2 linked regions of the Astyanax mexicanus genome follow. The protein of the gene in region 1 interacts with the protein of each later gene in a pairwise test. Links are inferred from orthologs where the notes say so. Each region holds a gene or a part of one and is shown in the gene's direction. Other genes may lie near its edges.

Region 1 (10,761 bases):
CATTAAGTAGTAAGATATGGAATCCTAAAAGTTCAGCAGGCTATTAAACGTTGTTAGCTAAGTTAGCAGTGTTGCTTTTTTATGATTTGCTCTTAACAGTTAATTCCTTCTGGGTTGTCTTCTATTAAGCACACTTTGGAATATGGAATTGCAGCATCCCAAGCCCATTTGTTATTAAACCCCAGAACCTACTCATCTAACCACCACAGCACCATCCATCTGTTATCAAACCCCAGAACCTACTAATATAACCAGCACAGCACCATCCATCTGTTATCAAACCCCAGAACCTACTAATATAACCAGCACAGCACCATCCATCTGTTATCAAACCCCAGAACCTCATAATCTAACCAGCACAGCGCCATCCATCTGTTATCAAACCCTAGAACCTCCTAATCTAACCATCACAGCACCGTCCACCTGTTATCAAACCCCAGAACCTATTAATCTAACCAGCACAGCACCGTCCATCTGTTATCAAACCCAGAACCTACTAATCTAACCAGCACAGCCCCATCCATCTGTTATCAAACCTCAAAACATACTAATCTAACCAGCACAGCGCCAACCATCTGTTATCAAACCCCAGAACCTATTAATCTAACCAACACAGCACCGTCCATTTGTTATCAAACATCAGGTATTAATTCAGCTTGGAAAACAGATTGCATAAAATTTTAAAAATTGTTATTATGATTACCATAATAATAATTATTATTACTATAACACTAATAATATAATTTTATTGATAGGCATCTTTCACACATAGAAACACAAAAGTCAACATCACAAATATAATATAGTAAAACAAAGACAAAATAAAATCTAAAAACTAGATAACTAGACTAAAAACCAGACAAAATAGTAACGAAAACATGTAAATAAAATATATAAAAGAGGCTGTATGTACAACCATGAATTTATCCATTTTAAGTCACAGATCCTGTGGGAAGGTACCCAAAAAGTTTTTAGTTGTTTTTAAAAGAGAAGAGGGAAGTAATCGAACAGAGATCTATCTACAAAAGTGCGTAATCAGGTATGCAGAACAGGAAGCAGACTTTTGTCAGCAGAGCGGGGAGAGCATGGAGGTCAATACCTATGAATAAGATCAGAAATGTAGGTGGGAGGCAGGAAGAAACTAAATAAGTATCCTATCTTCCTTAATCTGCCTTGGCAACTTTCAGGAATTTGTTCCTTTTACATTCGAGTTAGAATATCCAGTCAGCTGGTTTAATGTCGTATCATTTTTCGGTCTGAAGTAGCAACTTCTGTGAACACTGATCATTAAGTAGTAAGATATGGAATCCTAAAAGTTCAGCAGGCTATTAAACATTGTGTACAGCTATTTGGCAGCATGTTTTGGGGACACCACATAGCTATTAGCTAATTTAGCAGTGTTGCTTTTTTATGATTTGCTCTTAACAGTTGTTTCCTTCTGGGTTGTCTTACATTAAGCACACTTTGGGTGAAACAGCGACAGATTGTGTGATCTGACACTGATGTACCTTGACTTTGGAATTTACGTCTAAATTCTTTGGGAGTTGTATTTGGCAATTCGGTTACAATTCATATTACTCTCTCAATTTGTCATTAATTTTCCTCGTCCTGGGAGGTTGGCTACAGTCCTTTAGATCTTAACTTTCTGAATAACATGTGCAACTGTAGTAGCAGGAACATCAAGCTGCTTGGAAATGGTCTTACTTTACCCTACACATGTTTGTCTATCATTTTCTTTTCTTAGCTTTCTGTACTGGTGTGATGGTGATGTTCATTGTGGTACACACCAACATACCAATCAGCACAGTAACTGCATCATGTCTGTGACCCACTGACATCACTAACCCTTTGCCCTCTTCTTTTGTGATGCTTTTCCAGGCAGTGTGTTTTGGGTCAATATCTTGCTGAATGAAGAAGAATCTTCCATTCAGTTTGGTTTCATCATTCTTTAAATTCACAGACAAAATGTTTCTGTAGACCTCAGAGTTCACTTTGCATCAATGAATATTAATGAATCTGTCCCAGAATAAATAATTCAAGCCCAAATCATAACACTACCTCCATTGTGTTTCAGATATGAGCTGGTATGTTTAGAAACAGGTCCTTTTTTTTTTTTTTCCAAACTTGCCTTTCTATCAAATTAGTAAACGTTAATCTTTGTCTCATTAGTCCACAGGCTTGGCTTTGTACTCTGGTAAATTCCAGCCTGGCCTTTCTATTCACCTCATTAATAGTGTTTTTTATTTTCTAGTGAAGCCTCTGTGTTCATGAAGTCTTCAGTGAACAGTAGATTGTGATACCTTCACCCCTGCCTTGTGGAGGTTGCTGCTGATGTCACTAAAAATTATTTCTTCACAGCACTCGCAATGTTCCTGTCATCCACTGCTGCAGTTTTTTACTTGGTGTACCTGTTAACATCTGTTATTTAGTACACCAGTGACGAATTTCTTCTTCAAGACATTCAAAACTGTTGTTCTGGCTATGGACAATATGTGTGCAATGGTTCTGATAGATTTTCCATTTTCTCTCAGTTTCACAGTTGCTTGTTTTTTACTCATAGACAGCTGGTTTTCATGTTGGTTACTTCTCTAACTTTAAATGCACAGTCTGCAGATCTGAAACTGAGTGTAGACATTCTGTGCTATTTATTGTTTGAATAAAATACTTTTGAAGGGCACTGTATAAGCGTCTCAACGGGCATTAAATGTGAGTTACGACTGAACATTTACATTTGAATTAAGGAGAAAAACTGAATTAAGGAGGAATATTTGCTTTGGAAACTATCAATTTACAACACAGACATATACAAATACATATAAACACTTTCTCTTACAGTTTCTTGCTTGATAGGCTCTGATGATGCTGGCCAAGTCATAGGAAGTAGCGAAGGGACTCCCTGTTTCGACCACTGACACCTAAAAAGAAATATAGCACGTAAACACACCTACAAAAAGCATTTAAAAGTGTGGTGTAAAGTATGAACACAAACTCTCACATTGTAGGCAGCATGTAGACCTCTGTGTGGCAGTGGGATCTGTTGGTGGAGCCTCAGGTCCCCATTGATGAACAGCTGTGATCCAGGAACGGAGGAGGAGTGCTGAATAAAGGCCATAGACTGCATCACTACAGTGGACATCCGCTACAAAAAGAGTGACATGAATTCAACCTGACAGTTCCACTTGTTCAATCAAGTGAAAAAAAAAATTGCAAATGCAGTGAGAAAAGCATCAGAAATATGTATGGCACAACAACCCAGTGTTTTGTTTACTAATGTTTGTTGGAGTGTGGAGTGTATTTTTTGATGATTGTTGGTTGGTTCGATGGCAGCTATTGACACCTGATGTTTGTTGCTATGTAATATTGTATGATGCAAACTGATTACATTTGATGGCATTACCTAGTGTCTGCTGGCATTTGTAAGTGTTTTATTATATATTTGGTATTAGAGTTTTTTGTAGAGTTGAGGTGATTTCTGCCATTGGACTGTATTTGGCGTAGGGTGGCATTTGCTTGTGTTTGTGGGATTTTGTTGAATAATTTTGGGACAGTTTGCCCTAAATTAAGGGTTAGGGTGTGTTTTTGTGGTACTGTGCTGATACACACAAACAACTGGTATGAGAAGGTGAGGAGTAGCTGAATGCTGTAAATCTGCTCTTCTGCTTTCAGTGGAACACTGAGCTGGAGACGCAGCCGGTCTGATTTTCCATCCTGATTGCTGTCCTCCTCCTTGACCTGCAAAACACAAACATGTGCTTTTAAACATAATACACTTATTTCATATGCCCACACCCACTGTCAAAAGTTTGTTTCTTCCACCTTTGTACTGTCTATCTAGCTGTGTTAACCGAACACTCCAAAAGCTATTTAGTTATTTGGAGCTACTCAGACCAAAGCTATCTAGTGTTGGTGAGGCACCATAAAAATTATATCCACCGCCTTCCAAAGAAAAGAACCTGTGTTTATGAGTAAATAACATTTTGTTTGTGATGCTCTGGTGAACTCTGGGAACATGTTGTGTGCTAGCTAGTTTGTGGTATTCAAACTTTTGTGTACATTTCTGTGTCTGTAGTACTTACAGACACTGCAGGGATGCGAAGGTTGCTTCCCAGCAGACGGTTAAAGTCAGGAAAAGTGCTCCACGCCACAAATTCTCCTGCTGTTCCAGTGGCTCCAATCATTAACATCTGGTACTGGAACTGCACAACCGGCTGCTCCTCATATGTGCTTCTCTTCAGCCAGAATCCTGCAAACAAAGAAAAAAAACATCAGTTACTGATGAAATGCTGCACTGTATTGGAGGTGTCAGTCAGTAAAGCCATGCACTGTTTAACATGAGCTCCTGGAGTTCATAAGCTAGTCAGCACAGCCAGTATATTAAGTAAGTCCATGAGCAAGTTCACGGGGTTAATATACTAAATTCTTACAGTATACCAGCTGTATTAATGAGGTGCTGCTGTAGTGAACACTTACCTTGGCTCTTGTAGGCGACCAGCAGTGGCGGGATGTACGTAAGACAGAAAACCATCAGCACGAACAGGGTGGCGCGAGTACACACATTGGTTTTATATCTTATTAAAGCAGGGTGGGAGTACACTTCATAAAAAGCCATCACTGAAACCCTCCTCGCTGTTCTGAACTCGCTCTGAAGAACAGTTCTAAACTCGCTCTGAAGAACAGTTAAAACCTACTGAGAAATAACAGTGGGGCTGTTCTGGTTAGCATTGGTTAAGGTTAAGCTGTAATGGAGATGTGTTAAGGTGTGTTGTGTGCTGTAGAATCGGTTTCTCTCGTATTTAATTCGGATTAAATGTACTGTATCTATCAGTTCGGCCGCAGACGTGCAGTGCCTAATTCGGGTTTAAAAGCCATGCTAATGCTAATGCTAACGGTAACTGCTCCTGAAGCGAAGCGTCCCAGCGTTACCATGACCGCCTCCAGGAAACAGAAAGCGAACATCCGCCCACAGTTACCATGGCCACCCACGCCCCACCCCCTCTGTTGTCAAATATATTTATTATTCCACCTCTTAGCAAAAAACTTAAATCATACCAAAATAAAGCTACCATTTAAAACAGATTTATTACTTTTTTTTTTGCAACGTTTTAAAAAAGGTCCCAGGAAGGAACATTACAGATAGTGTTCCAGGAATGTTATTTTAACGTGATGTGCAGGAGAAACACGTACACAAAAGTGTTATATTCTGTATTTAATCACCACAGAACATATAGGTGATTTAAAAATGAACTCTGCCACTGAAAATCAAGCTAAGAAGCTGAAGCCCAAATATGGGCATAACAAAGGCCACAGAATTACCAGTATTTATAACATACTCATTAACCAATAAATAGCCTTAATAGTATATTAGGCCTAATTTTTTTTTTTATGACAATATTTAAAACAATGGTTAGAGACAAACGTCTGGACATAGCTCTCCTGGTTTCTGGTATACTGTGTGTGAAACTGATCTGATTACTGAATTGGACATTTCAGACTATTTGGTCCACTTGATTTCATGACTGATTAGAATGCAAGACAATTATTAATACGATAAATAAAATAAAGGACAATAAAAAAAACATATATACAATGATAATTTACATTTAACAAACATGTCCTAATAAAAGGTTTTCCAGACATATATTCAGAATTATGGTGAACGTACATTATTTTTTTTTTCAATTGCTAAACAATATGAAAAGCCCATATTCAGTTGTAAGGATAAATATAAATGTAAAAAAAAAAAAAACAAGCCTGTAGGCCACCCTCCCACTTATATCAAAGAACACTAACACTAAACCTTATATATATATATATATATATATATATATATATATATATATATATATATATATATATATATATATATATATATATATATATATATATATAATATTGATTATACAACCTTTATCTAACATTGGCTACCTGAATTGAATCAACGTTCACTTAAAGGTTTTAAATGATTAAGGCTCTTTTAACACTTTTCAAGTTAATGCTTTTTAGGATAAAGGTGCTTCCCACAAATAATAAAACTATGTGTTATAATATGAATTATGCGTTAAATGTATATTTCAAGCTTAATATAATACAAACAATATTTACATATTTACAAATCAAAATCTTTGGGGAATGTGGTTGGTCACCGGGTGCAGGATTTAACCCGAGTCCTGTTTCGGCACATCCCCCACAGAGCTGGTTGGTATGACCTGCATGACGTCAGCCGTCCGTCCAGCAGTGCTAAAGCTAATGCTAGTGCTAAGGCTAATGCAGGCGGAGTGTTGACACCGCTGCTGTTTTCAGGATAATCTCCGTTTCTGTCTCTTTCTGCTCGGGTTATTCTTGCAGCTCCTGTACACTGATTCATTGTTTCACCGCACTGGGAGAGGGCCGCCCGAATCCGCCACCATGAAATGGATGTTTAAAGAAGATCATTCTCTGGGTAATTCTGTTTAATCTGATATAAAACTGACTTTTATCAAACCCACACAGACCCGCGCTCATTATTCACCGCCAGTAAACACCAGCCTCAGATAATGTGGAGATCTGTACCTGCATGTCTGAATACTAGGGGCTGGTCGTAATCATGTTTACATTGTTAGGCCGTGCGTGTGTGTGTGTGTGTGTGTGTGTGTGTGTGTGTGTGTGTGTGTGTGTGTGTGTGTGTGTTAAAACGTTATTAGCTAGACGTAGGGTAAATAACTACACCACCCCTTCACTGACCCAAAATAAACCATCTTACTATAGAAAAGCGATCACACCTTTATTCAGAACTGCTGTCTGTTTAAAGATCCCATGTTGCTCTCCATGATCTATTTTAACACTGATTTTTGCATTGGTGCAAGGGAATATACTTGTTGTTATTTTTCCCCAACCTCTCTTTATAAATGCACTCATTTTATTCAAAAGAGACGATTTTCTGTCATGTGGAACTAGAAAATACTTGAATAAAGTATTATCTCATGTCACACTTATCAATATGTTACAGACGACCAATTGATATTCAGTAGCTCAATATTGATTATCAATATAACATCCTGAGTTCTTGTGGCCAGTGTGTGCTAAAGTGCAGTTATTAAAGTGTGTCTTCAGGACAATGCCAGCCTCTCTGACACTAATGCCCACTGATGCTCAGAGATCATTATCAGCAGAGCTTATAGCCACGCTTCTTTTATTATAAGCATACAATAGCCTAAAGTGTTTTATTGTAACAAAACAAAAACAGTAGAACAAATTTTTGCATCCATCTGATCTGATAATTAAACTATATAGCCTTTTAATTTATTATTTGTATTAAATTGTATTTTAATTCTAAAAGCTGCTGACAAATGATTTTTGTTTTTGTATAGTTTTTACAACTTATGTTACCAAGCATTTTTACAGAACTCCCAAGAAGCCTGTAGCCTTGTACTGATATATTTTTGTTTTAATTTTATTATTTATCTTTAAGATCGAGTAAGTCTCAGGTTATCATTTTTAATAGTCTATTTTTAATTTAATTCAATTCAATTCAATTTAATATTTATACTGTTGATCCTGAAATCATTAGACTGGCAGACTCTATCCCGGTATTGATTTCTTTATTGTTTACTGTGGACAGGTTAAGAGTCTGCACATTAGTGTTTGAGCTAAGTGCTTGGACAAGAATGTTTGAGCAGCATTTTCTGCTGTTAGACTGTAATACATCTTCAAACTAGAGAGAAAAATAGGCTAATAACAAGCTCTCTTGCCTGTTCTTATTAAAGTCTCTGCAAATATAATTGCTTTTCCAGACCGGTTTGTGCACTCGTTTAACCTTTGAAGAAAGCTGAGCTGATAAAACAAGCATATTATTTAATATTTCTTGACTGATTGCTGTTTTTATTTGAATTAAATTTACTGACATATTTTTAAACAGCTCTTAACCTGCATTCTCCTGTTCTTCCTCTGAGCTTCACTTACAGCTTCTGTGTTGGGTTGCCAACAAGAACCAGTGTTTAAATAACACTCTTTAATTTTTATTCAGTGTTTTATAGTGTTCTGTATCAGAGCACTACTGTATATACACACTATGTGCTTGCATAAATGAAACAAAATAATGCATTCAGCATTACTTATTATGCTTGGTATTAGGATAGGGATGTTAGCTGGGGTATCTTTTTGTTTACCAAAGCACTGGCTACCTTTCTATGCGTACCATTCGAATCACATGTGATTTACTGCTGTGACTTCCATATGACATTAACACAGTACTGTCAAAACACTGCATGACACGCCGATAAATTGGAAAAGTGCTTTGCGTCATAAAGCACCTGCTTACATCAGTGTGCAGTGCAGGCATCGGTGATTCTCCTAATCATATTTTCTCGTTTCTTATCTTTAGAGCACCGGTGTGTGGAATCGGCCAAAATCCGCAACAAGTACCCTGATAGAGTTCCAGTGAGTATTAATACTAATCAACATCATGGACTTAGAGATCATTATTCTTCTACCTCAGTGTATTTCACTATGTCTGTACATGTATTGTGTGAAACCACTGTTTGATATCCCAATATTGATGTGAAATAAGATAAATAAAGATCCTCAATCAGTTTAAGCTTAAGAGTTTTTCTCAGGCTGAAGATTAAGTTTGATGTGCGTGTTAACAGTGGACTTCTACCTCACCTTGTCTAACTAGTTATGTCACATGAGTACAGTCTGTAGCATTAAGGGCTCCATTTGTGTTTATGGTGAAAACTGTGATAACAATGAAAGTAAAATTTGTCTCACTGCCCTAATATAGAAGAAATGCCACTAAACTCCAGTGCTTTTATAGAACACCAGTGGCCTAAACAGTCGTCTAAAACTGCTAAAGCCCTTTAGCCCCACAATGAACAGATCCACTGGTCTGTTTAGGGTGAAATGTTGAGGTTTGTTCAGTGCACAGTAGTGCTAGCTTAGCCTGTTGCAACATTCCTACACTACACTGACATGCCAACTGTGATGGGACGTAACTAATTTTGTGTCCCATGACTTTTGCCATGTCCTATGGAAGCTAAAGAACGCTGCACTGACCTGTGAGATGTGTGTGTGGGGCCTCCTGCATTAAATGTAGATGTCATTTCTGCCAGAGTGACCTTTCACACGGTTTAACGGTCTACATGTTAAATTATAAAATCAAGAATGTGTAAATACAACTTTGTAAATTGAACTTATCATTCATCTAACACCCACTATCAGGTCCTAAACTTGTTGCCTTGTCATAAGAATGCTGGTTAAAGTTCAACTTACAGTGCTCTCCATAATTATTGGCACCCCTGGTTAAGATGTGTTCTTTAGCTTCTCATAAATTGAGTTTTGTTCAAAATAATATAGGACCACGATGGAAAAAAAGAGTAAAATACAACCTTTAACTCAAGTGAATTTATTCAGTAGGAAAAAAATCCCACATTAAGAAATAATTATTTAACATCAAATCATGTGTGCCACAATTATTAGCACCCCTGATGTTAATACTTCGTACAACCCCCTTTTGCCAACAAAACAGCACCTAATCTTCTCCTGTAATGTTTCACAAGATGGGAGAATACAGAAAGAGGGATCTTTGACCATTCTTCTTTGCACATTCTCTCTAAATCATCCAACGACCTGGGTCCTCTCCTCTGCACTCTCCTCTTCAGCTCACCCCACAGGTTTTCAATGGGGTTGAGGTCTGGGGACTGAGATGGCCATGGGAGGAGCTTGATTCTGTGTGCGGTGAACCATTTCTGTGTAGATTTGGCCACATGTTTAGGGTCATTATCTTGCTGAAAGACCCAGTGACGACCCATCTTCAGCTTTCGGGCAGAAGCCACCAGATTTTGTTTTAAAATGTCCTGGTATTTTAGAGCATTCATGATGCCATGCACCCTAACAAGGTTCCCAGGGCCTTTAGAAGAGAAACAGGCCCACAGCATCACTGATCCCCCGCCGTATTTCACAGTGGGCATGAGGTGCTTTTCTGCATACTCAGCTCTTGTGTTACGCCAGACCCACTTAGAGCATTTGTTGCCAAAAAGCTCTATCTTTGTTTCATCTGACCAAAGCACACGGTCCCAGTTGAAGTCCCAGTACCGCTTAGCAAACTCCAAACGTTTGCGTTTATGATTGTGAGTGAGAAATGGTTTCTTCCGTGCATGCCTCCCAAACAGCTTGTTGGCATGTAGATAGCGCCTGATGGTTGTTTTGGAGACTTTGTGACCCCAAGAAGCTACCATTTGTTGCAATTCTGTAACAGTGAGCTTTGGAGAACTTTTTATTTCTCTTATCATCCTCCTCACTGTGCGTGGTGGCAAAATAAACTTGCGTCCTCGTCCAGGCTTGTTTACCACTGTTCCAGTTGTTTTAAACTTCTTAATAATTCCTCTGACAGTAGATATGGACAGGTGTAGGCGAGTAGCGATTTTCTTGTAGCCATTGCCTGACTTGTGAAGGTCAACACACATCTGCCTCACTTGAATGGTATGTTCCTTTGTATTTCCCATGTTGAAGATAAATGGCCTCTGTGTCACGTCATATTTATACCCCAGGGAAACAGGAAGTTGTGAATTACTAATTAAATGTTCCTACATACTCTGATCAACTTCGTAAACTACTGTAGAAGTGACAGAAATACTTTTATTAAATTTATTTCCTAAGAATTGTTAGGGGTGCCAATAATTGTGGAACAGGTGATTTTATGAAGAATAATTATTTCTTAGTCAGGGATTTTATTTCCCCCTTAAAATTTACTTGAGTTAAAGGTTGGACTTTACTTTTTTTCCTATC
Region 2 (9,714 bases), on another chromosome or scaffold:
CCGCTGTTGATTCACTGTGAAAAACCTCGTTAATACACAGCTAATCACCTACTTTCTCTAGACAAGGCCTAACTAGTACCCAAATGGGTCAAATGAGTCCACAGCAAACGAAAGCAAAAGGTATTTAACAAAAAAATCAATTTAAATGCATAAGTTATATAATATGTACTAATATTAAATTACTAATTGCAGATTTATATTGGTTTTTATATTTTTGTCTAATATTCTAAAATAAAATGCTGTAAATGCTATTTGTTTGTAGTGAGATATTTAACATTAGAATAAGATTTGGTTACTTAGTAATTAAACCGCCTGTGGTTTCAGGACATTTACATGATACACAGTACCAGTCAAAACTCTGGACACATCTTCTCATTTAAAGTATTCGGTGAAGAAGTTAGGTGGGCTCTTATCTCTTATGGGATAACTCTTTGTCTTCCTTGTTTTAGGGTGGTCCTGATGAGAGCCACTTTCATCATAACATTTTTGATGTTTTTTGCGACTACACCTAAAGATGCTTTTAAAGTTCTTATACTTTTTGGGATTGACTGACCTTCAACAACAAGGCAATGGCAGATTAGAAATGTTCAAATATCCAAAATAAATAAAACATAAATCAAATAAAAACACTGTTTTAAAACAAAGTCAACACACTGGCTCATTTAGACTAATAGGCTCTGATAAATAAATAAACACAATGGATAAAATTGAAAAAAAAAAAAAAATCAGCAAAAATGAAATAGGTTGTTAATGTAAGTTAGATCCACTGTTTGTTTGTCTGTTTAAAGTGGGTTCTTTAACTTTTGTTATCTGATATTTACTAAACCACCTGTATTTTCAGGAGCTTTATACAGTATTTATCTTATACATGTAGGCATATCTGGGCTATTATTTATCATTTGGTTGTGAGGCCTAAAATATATCTACATATTTTATAAGCGAAATAAGGGACTTAAGATATATTTGCAGGAATCAGGAGTGTATGTGTTTAATGTACTTTTGCACATGGTGAGAATATTTAGTCATGGTTGTACATTGTTCTTTTTGCTCTTCTTGCTTGTTTGATGTGTGTTTGATTGTCGTGTAAAGTTTTACTTCGGTATTAAACTGTCCTATTTGTGTCTTTAATCATTATGTATCCTTTTAAAACAATTAATATTTGATTGTTCTTGTTTACATCTAAACATATGTGGGCGTTCTTTCTTTTTGTTCCATCACTGTTCATGTGTGAATCACTCACCAAAACCACATTGAAGCGCTCCTCTAGTTCCTCCTCGGGGGGCATGGGGAGTTTGGGTGGGGCCGTTTTCTTCTTTATTGTGCCAGGTAAGGGACTGGTCCCACCCAACGAGGCCCGGGCCTCCTGGCCCTCCGGCTGCTCTAGGCCACCTGCCGCATTACCCATCACTACCTTCCGAAAGTATTCCAGGATCCCAACCTCCAGCAAGTGACAATTCCCACAGCAAACGGCTTCTGACCAATCACGGCCAGTCAACTCTTAAAGATCAAATCCAATGCCTTTTTCGAAAGTTTACGAATCTCCACAATGTTCTTTGGTTCGGTCAGGTCCAAAAAAGTGGCTGAAGCATTTCTTTTATGACATGCTGTCAAAAACAGCAAGAGCAGGAGGAAAGATCAAAGGGAAAAAGTAGCAAAAAAACAAAAATAATCAGAATTTTGTAATCTTGTACTCTACCGATAAAAAAAAATAGGGTTTTACCATCAATTTAATGCATAAGAAGCAAAACACACAGTCCTATATTGAGCAATCTCCTGTTCGTTTCAAAATGGAGGGAAAAACACACCAGACACACATATGTATGCAAAAAACACTGTGTCTGGAAAAAAGGGAAGCAGAAATGCCACTTACAATGCTAACATTCACTTTATGAACAATAGCTGTCCTTCAGGCAAAGTGAATCAAGTTTTGAATGCCCTCCAGCTGTTCAGTAACGTTGCTCAGCACTAGGCCTCTGTCTGCTCATCCTCTGGTTGAGAGTGACGCACGCTGAAGCATCTTTCTTCATCCTTTCAGTAACATCCACTGTCTGTCCAACAACACTGAAGTTTATCCTCGAAAAGATAGGAAGTGTGAACGAAGAAGAGAAGAAGACACCTGTCCGAATGTTAAACTTCTAGTGGGCTCTGGTGTGTGTGTGTGTGTGTGTGTCTCCTTGTTTGAAAAAACGTTTAGCGTTTAGTGACAAGGGAGGGTTGAAGTGCAAGAGGAGGAAACCACAGAAAAAAGCAGAAGCAACAGACGCTTCCTGAAAACGATGCGCAAGAGAAACTGAGAGAGAGAGAGAAAAAGAGCAAGAGAAGAGGCTGAAAGCCAGAGCAAGAGAAAGAAAGAGAGAGAAAAAATCGTAATAGATGTGACATAGTACTAACTTCAAGCTGAAAGATAAACTGGTGTTGGTCTTTATTAATTATTAAATATGTGCAAAAGAAGGTTTGGCCTTGTGGAAAAACAAAAGTCATGTTGGCTAGATCTGGCCTTCTACCCACTTTTGACTTACTATATCTCCATAAACTTACCTCAGAATGCCACCGTGTGGTACATACACCATATTACCAAGAGAAGCAGCTCGTCTGTCTTGAGTTTGGTGATGTAAGGCTTGGGTGGAGCGGCTCAGCCATGGAACCCATTCCATGAAGGTCTTCACGCTCTACGCTGTTCTTGGGCTAATCTGACAGCCACATGAAGTTTGAAGGTCTGGAGTGATAGACTCTGCTGTAGAAAGTTGGAGATCCGTTGACTCCTGTCTCTGTTATTTTACATTGGCAGAGCGAGTTGCTTTTGTTCCCAGTTGCTTCCACTTTGTTATAATAGCACAGACAGTTGGCTGTGGAATATTTACTAGTGAGGAAATTTTGTGACTGGACTTGTTTCACAGGTACTGCATCCTATCACAGTAAAACACTGGAATTCACTGATTTCCTGATAGTGCCGCATTCTTTCACTAATGTTTGTAGAAGCAGTCTGCATGCCTAGGCCCTTGGTGTTATACACATGTGGATTTCCACCCTTAGTCTTACGTCAGAATGATAAAATTTGCATAGAACCACTCAGGCACCACCCTTCATACATCAACCCCTACCAGAGCCTCACCCAATAGATCAGTTGAAGATCTGCCACACTGAATGCGTTGGCTACAGGCAAAAGAAAGTCACATGTGGTGTTTTTTGGCTGCCAAGAACAACACATTCTTTTTTCAATGGCCATGTTTCAACAACAATCGCCAAGAAACTTCTGGTGTGTGCAAACCACTTCAAGGCAGACAGCTTTGAGAACCTTGGACAGTACACAGCAAGATTACCCAGCAGACTTTGTCTGAGGGAGGGATCTGTACCTGCTGTCCGTGGCAAGTCAGCAGAGTTTTGTTTCTATCTCAATTATGCATGAACTACCTTGCTCATGTTTTGCTATTTAGCACAAGCTGACATTAACATTACTGCTAGTCCTGCACATGAATTTAGTGAAACTAAGGAGAGATGGCAATGATAACCAAAAATAACAAGTAACAAGTTAATTAAATTAAAAAGCTGACTAACCCTTCAGGAACCACTTGCTGCATTCTTAAAGGTGTTTGTGCAGGTGTAACTTTGATTTTTTTTCCTTTTGTAAACGTCTAGCTTGGGAGTAACCATACAGGATTGTTTCAGATAGTTGCTGTCGGACCAAAATCATGGCTCTCTACAATAGTAAATGCAGCCTTTACCTTTTTTTGCTGATCCATTTGTCAAGTCATTTTGAAGGAGAGCAAGGAAAAGCTGGATTTGAGCAGCAAAAGCCCAACAGCGGCAGCCCAGCAAACAAGGACATTGTACCCACAACCCTGTGATCAATAACACAGTGCTCAAACCACTGAGCCACGCATCTTTTCCACATTAATAAAATATATATCATAAACACAGTTTTGTCAGTCAGTACTTCTGTACAACATCTTCTGTAAATCTGTATGTATAATTTATGTACAAAATAAATCAGCTAGTTTTAGTCTATAACTTTTTCTGTATATTCATGGAAGAAAAAGGACCCCAGGACATAAACACCACTTAAAAGAATGTGTGTTTATGTGGGTGTGCCCCTAAGCTTTCACTGCCTTAGGCAACTGCCCGTATCGACCCTGCCAGTAACCACCGCTGGAGCCGCGAGCGTGTCCAGAATAAGGAAGAATGATGAGAGGAACTGTTCAGACCCCCGTAGTGATAGTGATCTCTTCACCAAACTGCCATTACAGAGACATTTCAAGGCCAGCACCACCCACACAAAATATCACTTCAACATCTCCAGCCTCTTCCCTGGAGCAATCTGGCTTCTGAATGTCACCCCTGTCGCTCCCTACATACATAAATAATGTTTTCCAATGTAGTTCTATTCCAATATGAAAAAGTATAACAAAAGGTAAGTGTATTTATACAGTATTAATATACATTAATATATCAATATGCTCAATGTTTCTTGCTTTTATTTTTGTAAAACTTTATGTACCGTAATTTTTGGTCATTTTAAAGTGGGGTTCTGAGCTTACCGCATCCCGGGTCGGCAGAGTGTGCGGTGCTTCGCAGAGGTATCCAGCTGTTACCAGTTGAGCTTTTATTTTCTTTGTAACTGGTTTTAAAGCAAATTACATTCAACAAACCCCTTTTTTCGCCTATACATTTATATTAGACTTACCAATTAATTTTATGACAAGGATCTTGTGACTACTGTATTATTTTAAACCGTACGTACACCCTAAGAACATATTTTATGTACCGTGAACGCAGCACTGTTCACGGTACGTAACTATATTTGTGTACATGGCCTGTTTAATTAAAAGTGTGGCTCATAGCCATGTGCGGCTTGTAGTCAGGCTAATTATGTGTGGCCTGTATACAAACATTTTTTTTTAATTAGTGGGTGGGGCTTACAGTTGCGCTTAATAGCTCGAAAATTATGATATCTCAAAATGGATGCAGTATGTGGTTTAGCATTGTATTGCTGACATATGCAAGGCTTCCTGAAAGAGACATTGTCAGGAAGTTCTAAAGCCTCTATGTACTGCATACTGTATAAATTCAGCATTGATAGTACCTTTTCAGATGTGTAATTTCCAGAGCTGTCAAAAATATTAATAATTCCCTGAATATTTATGTAAAAGAACTTTGGATAAAACACTGACTTATTTTTCATAGTAATGTCAGAAGTTATTCCATAAAAAAATGTTTTATGTGAAGAGAATTTATGAATATCCAGATTTCCTCCTGCTGTGAGCTCTAAAACCTCTTTACCCTCCTCTGCTGGTGATAGAGGAGTGTGTCCCCGGGTTCTGACTCCTGATCAGCTGAGATCAGCAGCAGCAGACGGCGCTGTTCTCCAGCGCGCTCCCCTCAGCTCCTCATCCCGTGATCTTTCCGTGTTTCTTCCAAAATGACGGAGCCCAGCGCGTCGCCGGAGGATCCCTGGCACAAAGTAAGCAGACAGTTCAGCTGTTTAACTCCTGTAGAAGACAGTCAGGTGCTTTACTGATGTGATAAACCTGAGATTAGAGAATATAAGCGCTGGAATCAACTAACGTTACTTTCACTTTATGATGATCAATAGAAGACTAATAGTAAAGCTGGCTAAACAAAAGAAAACTTGGGGATCTGGCTCCTTTGTGTTTATCTACGTCATATTAGCGTTAGCCAACGTCTTCCCAGACTTATAACATGATTTATAACACTGTAGTAACTTATCAGACTGCGAATGATCACTGATATAACAATGATGTATCTCTATTTGGGATAGAGAATGTCCAGAAACGTCCATAAGTATAAATCCACTCCGGGATTTTGCTCCAACTGCGTGGACGCTGTAGCTGCAAGTAGACCCGCACAGGCTGTTGGAACAAAACCCTGGGATGGATTCGTATTTCTGGACCTGGATTAGCCAACTCTAGTAACAAGCTTAATGTCTTAGCTAGCTAACAAGCTATATTTGTAAATATATATTTCTAAATGATTTTAAATAAGCTCGTTTGTCTATATTGTACATTAAAATATACAACTTAGTACAGTATTGTACAACTAAAATATCCGCCTCATAAACTCTAAAATAACTTAAATAGCTAAATTAGGTAGTTAGTTAGCGTTAGCTAAGACTGTAAGTTAGCCTCTTCTCAAAACTCGGTGTTGTCACCGAGCTCAGCTGACCTACATTGGATTCGGAAACGCTAACTAGCTAAACTAACCTTAGTTTGGATTAGCTAGCTAGGTTAGCTTAGCTAGAAAACTTGTGTAAAAACGACATTCTTTACATATTTTGTAAAGTTTACTGTTAAGTAGCTTAGAAAGGAGAGTTTACTATTGTGTAAAACATGTTTACCTTACAGTGAGCTCTGTTTCACTTTTTAGGGGGTGCTTTGTTTTAGTTTAATACTTAGTGATACTGATATAAATTGTTAAACTAGCATTACTGACAGAAATTGGCTGTATAGCTAGATAGCTAGTTGGATACTTAAAGTGACACTAAGCCATATTTTTTTCATTAATAGATGAAATGTGTTCCTGAAAAGGCACAAAACGTATTAGTTTTGCTTAAATTTTGTATATACATTTCCTAACCAGGTTCAACTGTGCTATAGGCAAGGATGATGTGTCCGTGTACATTGGTATGCAGACACTTACAATATGCAGATAACACCTGTCAATAAATAATAACACCCCCCTGCTGAACTCAAACCATCTGGGTATCAAAGGCACACTGCTGTTGCTGCAGCTTAGCCTGTCAGCTCTCCCTTCTGCACCGCCTCTAAACCCAAACATCACCCAGTGCCATGCCCAAACTACCCCTCCCATTTTTTTTTTACTTTTTCAAGTTTGAAGTCAGCACAAATCTGTGCTTTAATGCGGTTTAATAAAGTGGTTGACTGTTTATCAAGGGATAGATGTGGGCAATATGGATGCACGATACTGGCACATATCTGACATTGCAATATGTTTTTTCTGCAAAATATATATTGTGATACAAATTTTACAAATTTTCACTAGATTTCACCAGGAAAGTCATAGGTCCAAAATAATTATATAAAGTGGTTTATTCTTCACTGTGCTAGAAAAGCTGTAAAGTTGATTGGCAGTTTTAATATTGTCAGATGTTTTTAGACAAATAATGCAATATTGCTCTAATATGCTGATTCTAAGAGCCGGTCAGATTATATTCTTTGTGCAAAGATCCTCTATCACATGATGATTACATTTCTTGGTAAAAAAAAAAAATGTATATGGAAATATAAGGCTTGTACATGGCTGCAGAATCGCATTGTATTGCGCCTCTTGAAGGGAGCAAGGCACACTATGCTGCCATCCTTGGTTGTTTTTTTTAGAGGCTCCCCTACAGACCAAGAGTAAATGTTCTCTGTCACAATGCTATTCCTCTGGTTCCATACCCTAGCCATGCATGATGTGTTGAGCACAATAGACTATTAAACATATCAGAAAAGGGTTTGTACATTGCATGTTTGGGGGAAAAAAAGTCAGAAAAGAGTTTTTTGAGTAGCAAGTGCGACAAGATCTTATACTGGATTCTGATTTTATATATTGTAAAATCCACTTCAAACCAAATTTGTGCCAAATAATGTGCTGTTTAGTAAAGTAAATACACATACCTGGACTAAACGTCACTTATGAAGCAAGCTTGCAAAATAGTTCATAATAATAGACAGGCAATATTAGAATTTTAGCTCTGGCTATTCGGAGAAGACTTGCACATCTATAACTATGGCCCTCTAGCAACTAGCCTGCCTCTTGCTTTTTGCTGAGGATATATGTAGCATTTGCCATAAAGCGAGACTGACTCTTGCAATGCCCAAGATTTTTTTTTCCCCTACAGACCAAAAGGGTGAAAAAGTGAGAAACTTCTTACGCTTCATAATTACCCATGTATTTATCTTAAACAGTATGAAATGCATTGATTAACTGAAAATGTTGCATGGTGTGCCTTTAATACCAGTAACCGGATTCCCCTCCTGAGGTCTTCAATTGGCATCAGCGATCCACCAAACGCATTGAAAGACAATCTGTAATCGGTGTAACCTCCCGTTTTTAGAGTGTATTTCTGCATTGTCTAAAGTCATTGCTGCATCCCTAATAATAATAATGCTATTTTGATAATGATGAAGCATGCTGTTAAAGGTTGATCTTCATCCACAGCTAAAATTGTCACAGTTTATCTTTATAATGCTAAATTATCATAATTTTAACCGAGCCCTATTCACTGGCATTGTAAGTGCAGGTACATTTAAGTGGCATTTCTCATTGTTAGCATTGTAAATGGCATTTATTATTCTCATCATTGCTGAAAGTGCCTTCGCTTTTATGGTTCCAGCGTTTTGTAAAGTAATAAAGCCGTCTCTGCCGGGCGTAGCGGGGTGCTAATGGTTATTTATTGAGGACATATCACAGTAGGGAGTACTGGTGTCCTAGATGCATGATGTGCCAGGTGTATAACTTTTAGTGCTGGCGGGTGGTTTGTATCGGTCTGTCTGTCTGTCTGTGTCTCTCTTTTCTTTACCGTTAAGAGAATTCTGTCATTTTGTCTGAATTAATCCGAGTGTTTATTTTTCCCTCGTCCTGAACTTCACCTCGCCATGGCTCAGCAGACGGACGGCACCTTTAGCGACAATGGCTTTGACCACAGTAAGTACTTAAGCCTGGCTTTAAGTGTGTGTCTATTTAAGCAGCCCTGAAAGGAGTGGTTTTATTAGTTTAGTGTTATTGTAGTAGTTCATTGGTTTTATTATGTCATATGTTTAATTAATTGGGTTTAGAAAAATGTAGTGTATAGTTTTATAGTTTTAGTGCTTGTATATCTTCACTGTTACAGATCAATAAATATGCAGAAGCAGAAAACCGTATTATCTTTTAATGAAAGTCAAAGTAAAAAAAAATTGGAGGAATTTTATTCCCTCATTAATTAATAGATGTTGACTTAAGGTAAATGACAATTAGATTCACATTATGTCATGAAGTAAAACATTTTATTATATATATATATATATATATATATATATATATATATATATATATATATATATATAAATGACTGTTTCCTTAATATAGCATACCTCAAAACAAAAAGACAATAAGGTAATATATATTAAAATATGTCAGAAAATAAATAGCAAATCTTAAATGTAAGGAAAAATGTTACCCTGTTATTTTATTTTCATTTAAAATATTAGAAAAATCAGTTGAACAAACCTTTGCATTATACTGTACATTAAGCTTAGTAACTATGTGTGTTATATAGGCTGCATATATAACATATATCACTGACCAAAATGGTAACCATGTAAATAATATAAATGCCATTTACTCAAAAGAAAATCAACAGCGTGCAGTTTGGTGGTAATAGATAAAAAAAATGGTTTAGTGGTTTTACAAAATTTTAAATCACCTATTTTTTTTTACTCTTACTTAACTTTTTTAACTTAGGAGGAAAACAATAAATATATTTCTTGGTTGTTTATGTTGGACATTGTCTTGTATTGTTTCCTCTTTTACAGGTTTCTTTGCAGAGAGTTCTCGGAAAGGAACAATGGTGTCTAGAGCCAACAGTATAGGATCCACCAGTGCCTCCTCAGTACCCAACACAGGTACACAATACTGCGCACAAGTTTATGCAGCTTTTCATTCACTTTCCCATTTTGCTTACCATTGCATAAATTAAATACAAATTAAATATAA

The links. The genes of interacting proteins can lie anywhere in the genome.
Region 2: the proteins of gabarapl2 (region 1) and mlx interact in binary tests that used the Homo sapiens proteins (3 or more experiments, as listed by UniProt). The two-hybrid records come from large-scale screens. The link is inferred for Astyanax mexicanus from reciprocal best matches to the Homo sapiens genes GABARAPL2 and MLX.

What each region holds. Positions count from the first base shown.
Region 1 is NC_064417.1:10,971,806-10,982,566, reverse strand, and holds the start of gabarapl2 (gamma-aminobutyric acid receptor-associated protein-like 2), read left to right. Parts: upstream 1-6,213; 5' UTR 6,214-6,405; coding exon 6,406-6,439; intron 6,440-8,359; coding exon 8,360-8,415; intron 8,416-10,761. Other genes in the region: tmem231 (transmembrane protein 231), read right to left, coding at 2,834-2,915, 2,996-3,139, 3,604-3,732, 4,077-4,243, 4,471-4,609. UniProt on the Homo sapiens protein: Ubiquitin-like modifier involved in intra-Golgi traffic. Modulates intra-Golgi transport through coupling between NSF activity and SNAREs activation. It first stimulates the ATPase activity of NSF which in turn stimulates the association with GOSR1.
Region 2 is NC_064426.1:23,205,817-23,215,530, reverse strand, and holds the start of mlx (max-like protein X), read left to right. Parts: upstream 1-5,319; 5' UTR 5,320-5,416; coding exon 5,417-5,458; intron 5,459-8,624; coding exon 8,625-8,664; intron 8,665-9,533; coding exon 9,534-9,623; intron 9,624-9,714. Other genes in the region: fmnl1a (formin-like protein 1), read right to left, coding at 1,241-1,405. UniProt on the Homo sapiens protein: Transcription regulator. Forms a sequence-specific DNA-binding protein complex with MAD1, MAD4, MNT, WBSCR14 and MLXIP which recognizes the core sequence 5'-CACGTG-3'. The TCFL4-MAD1, TCFL4-MAD4, TCFL4-WBSCR14 complexes are transcriptional repressors.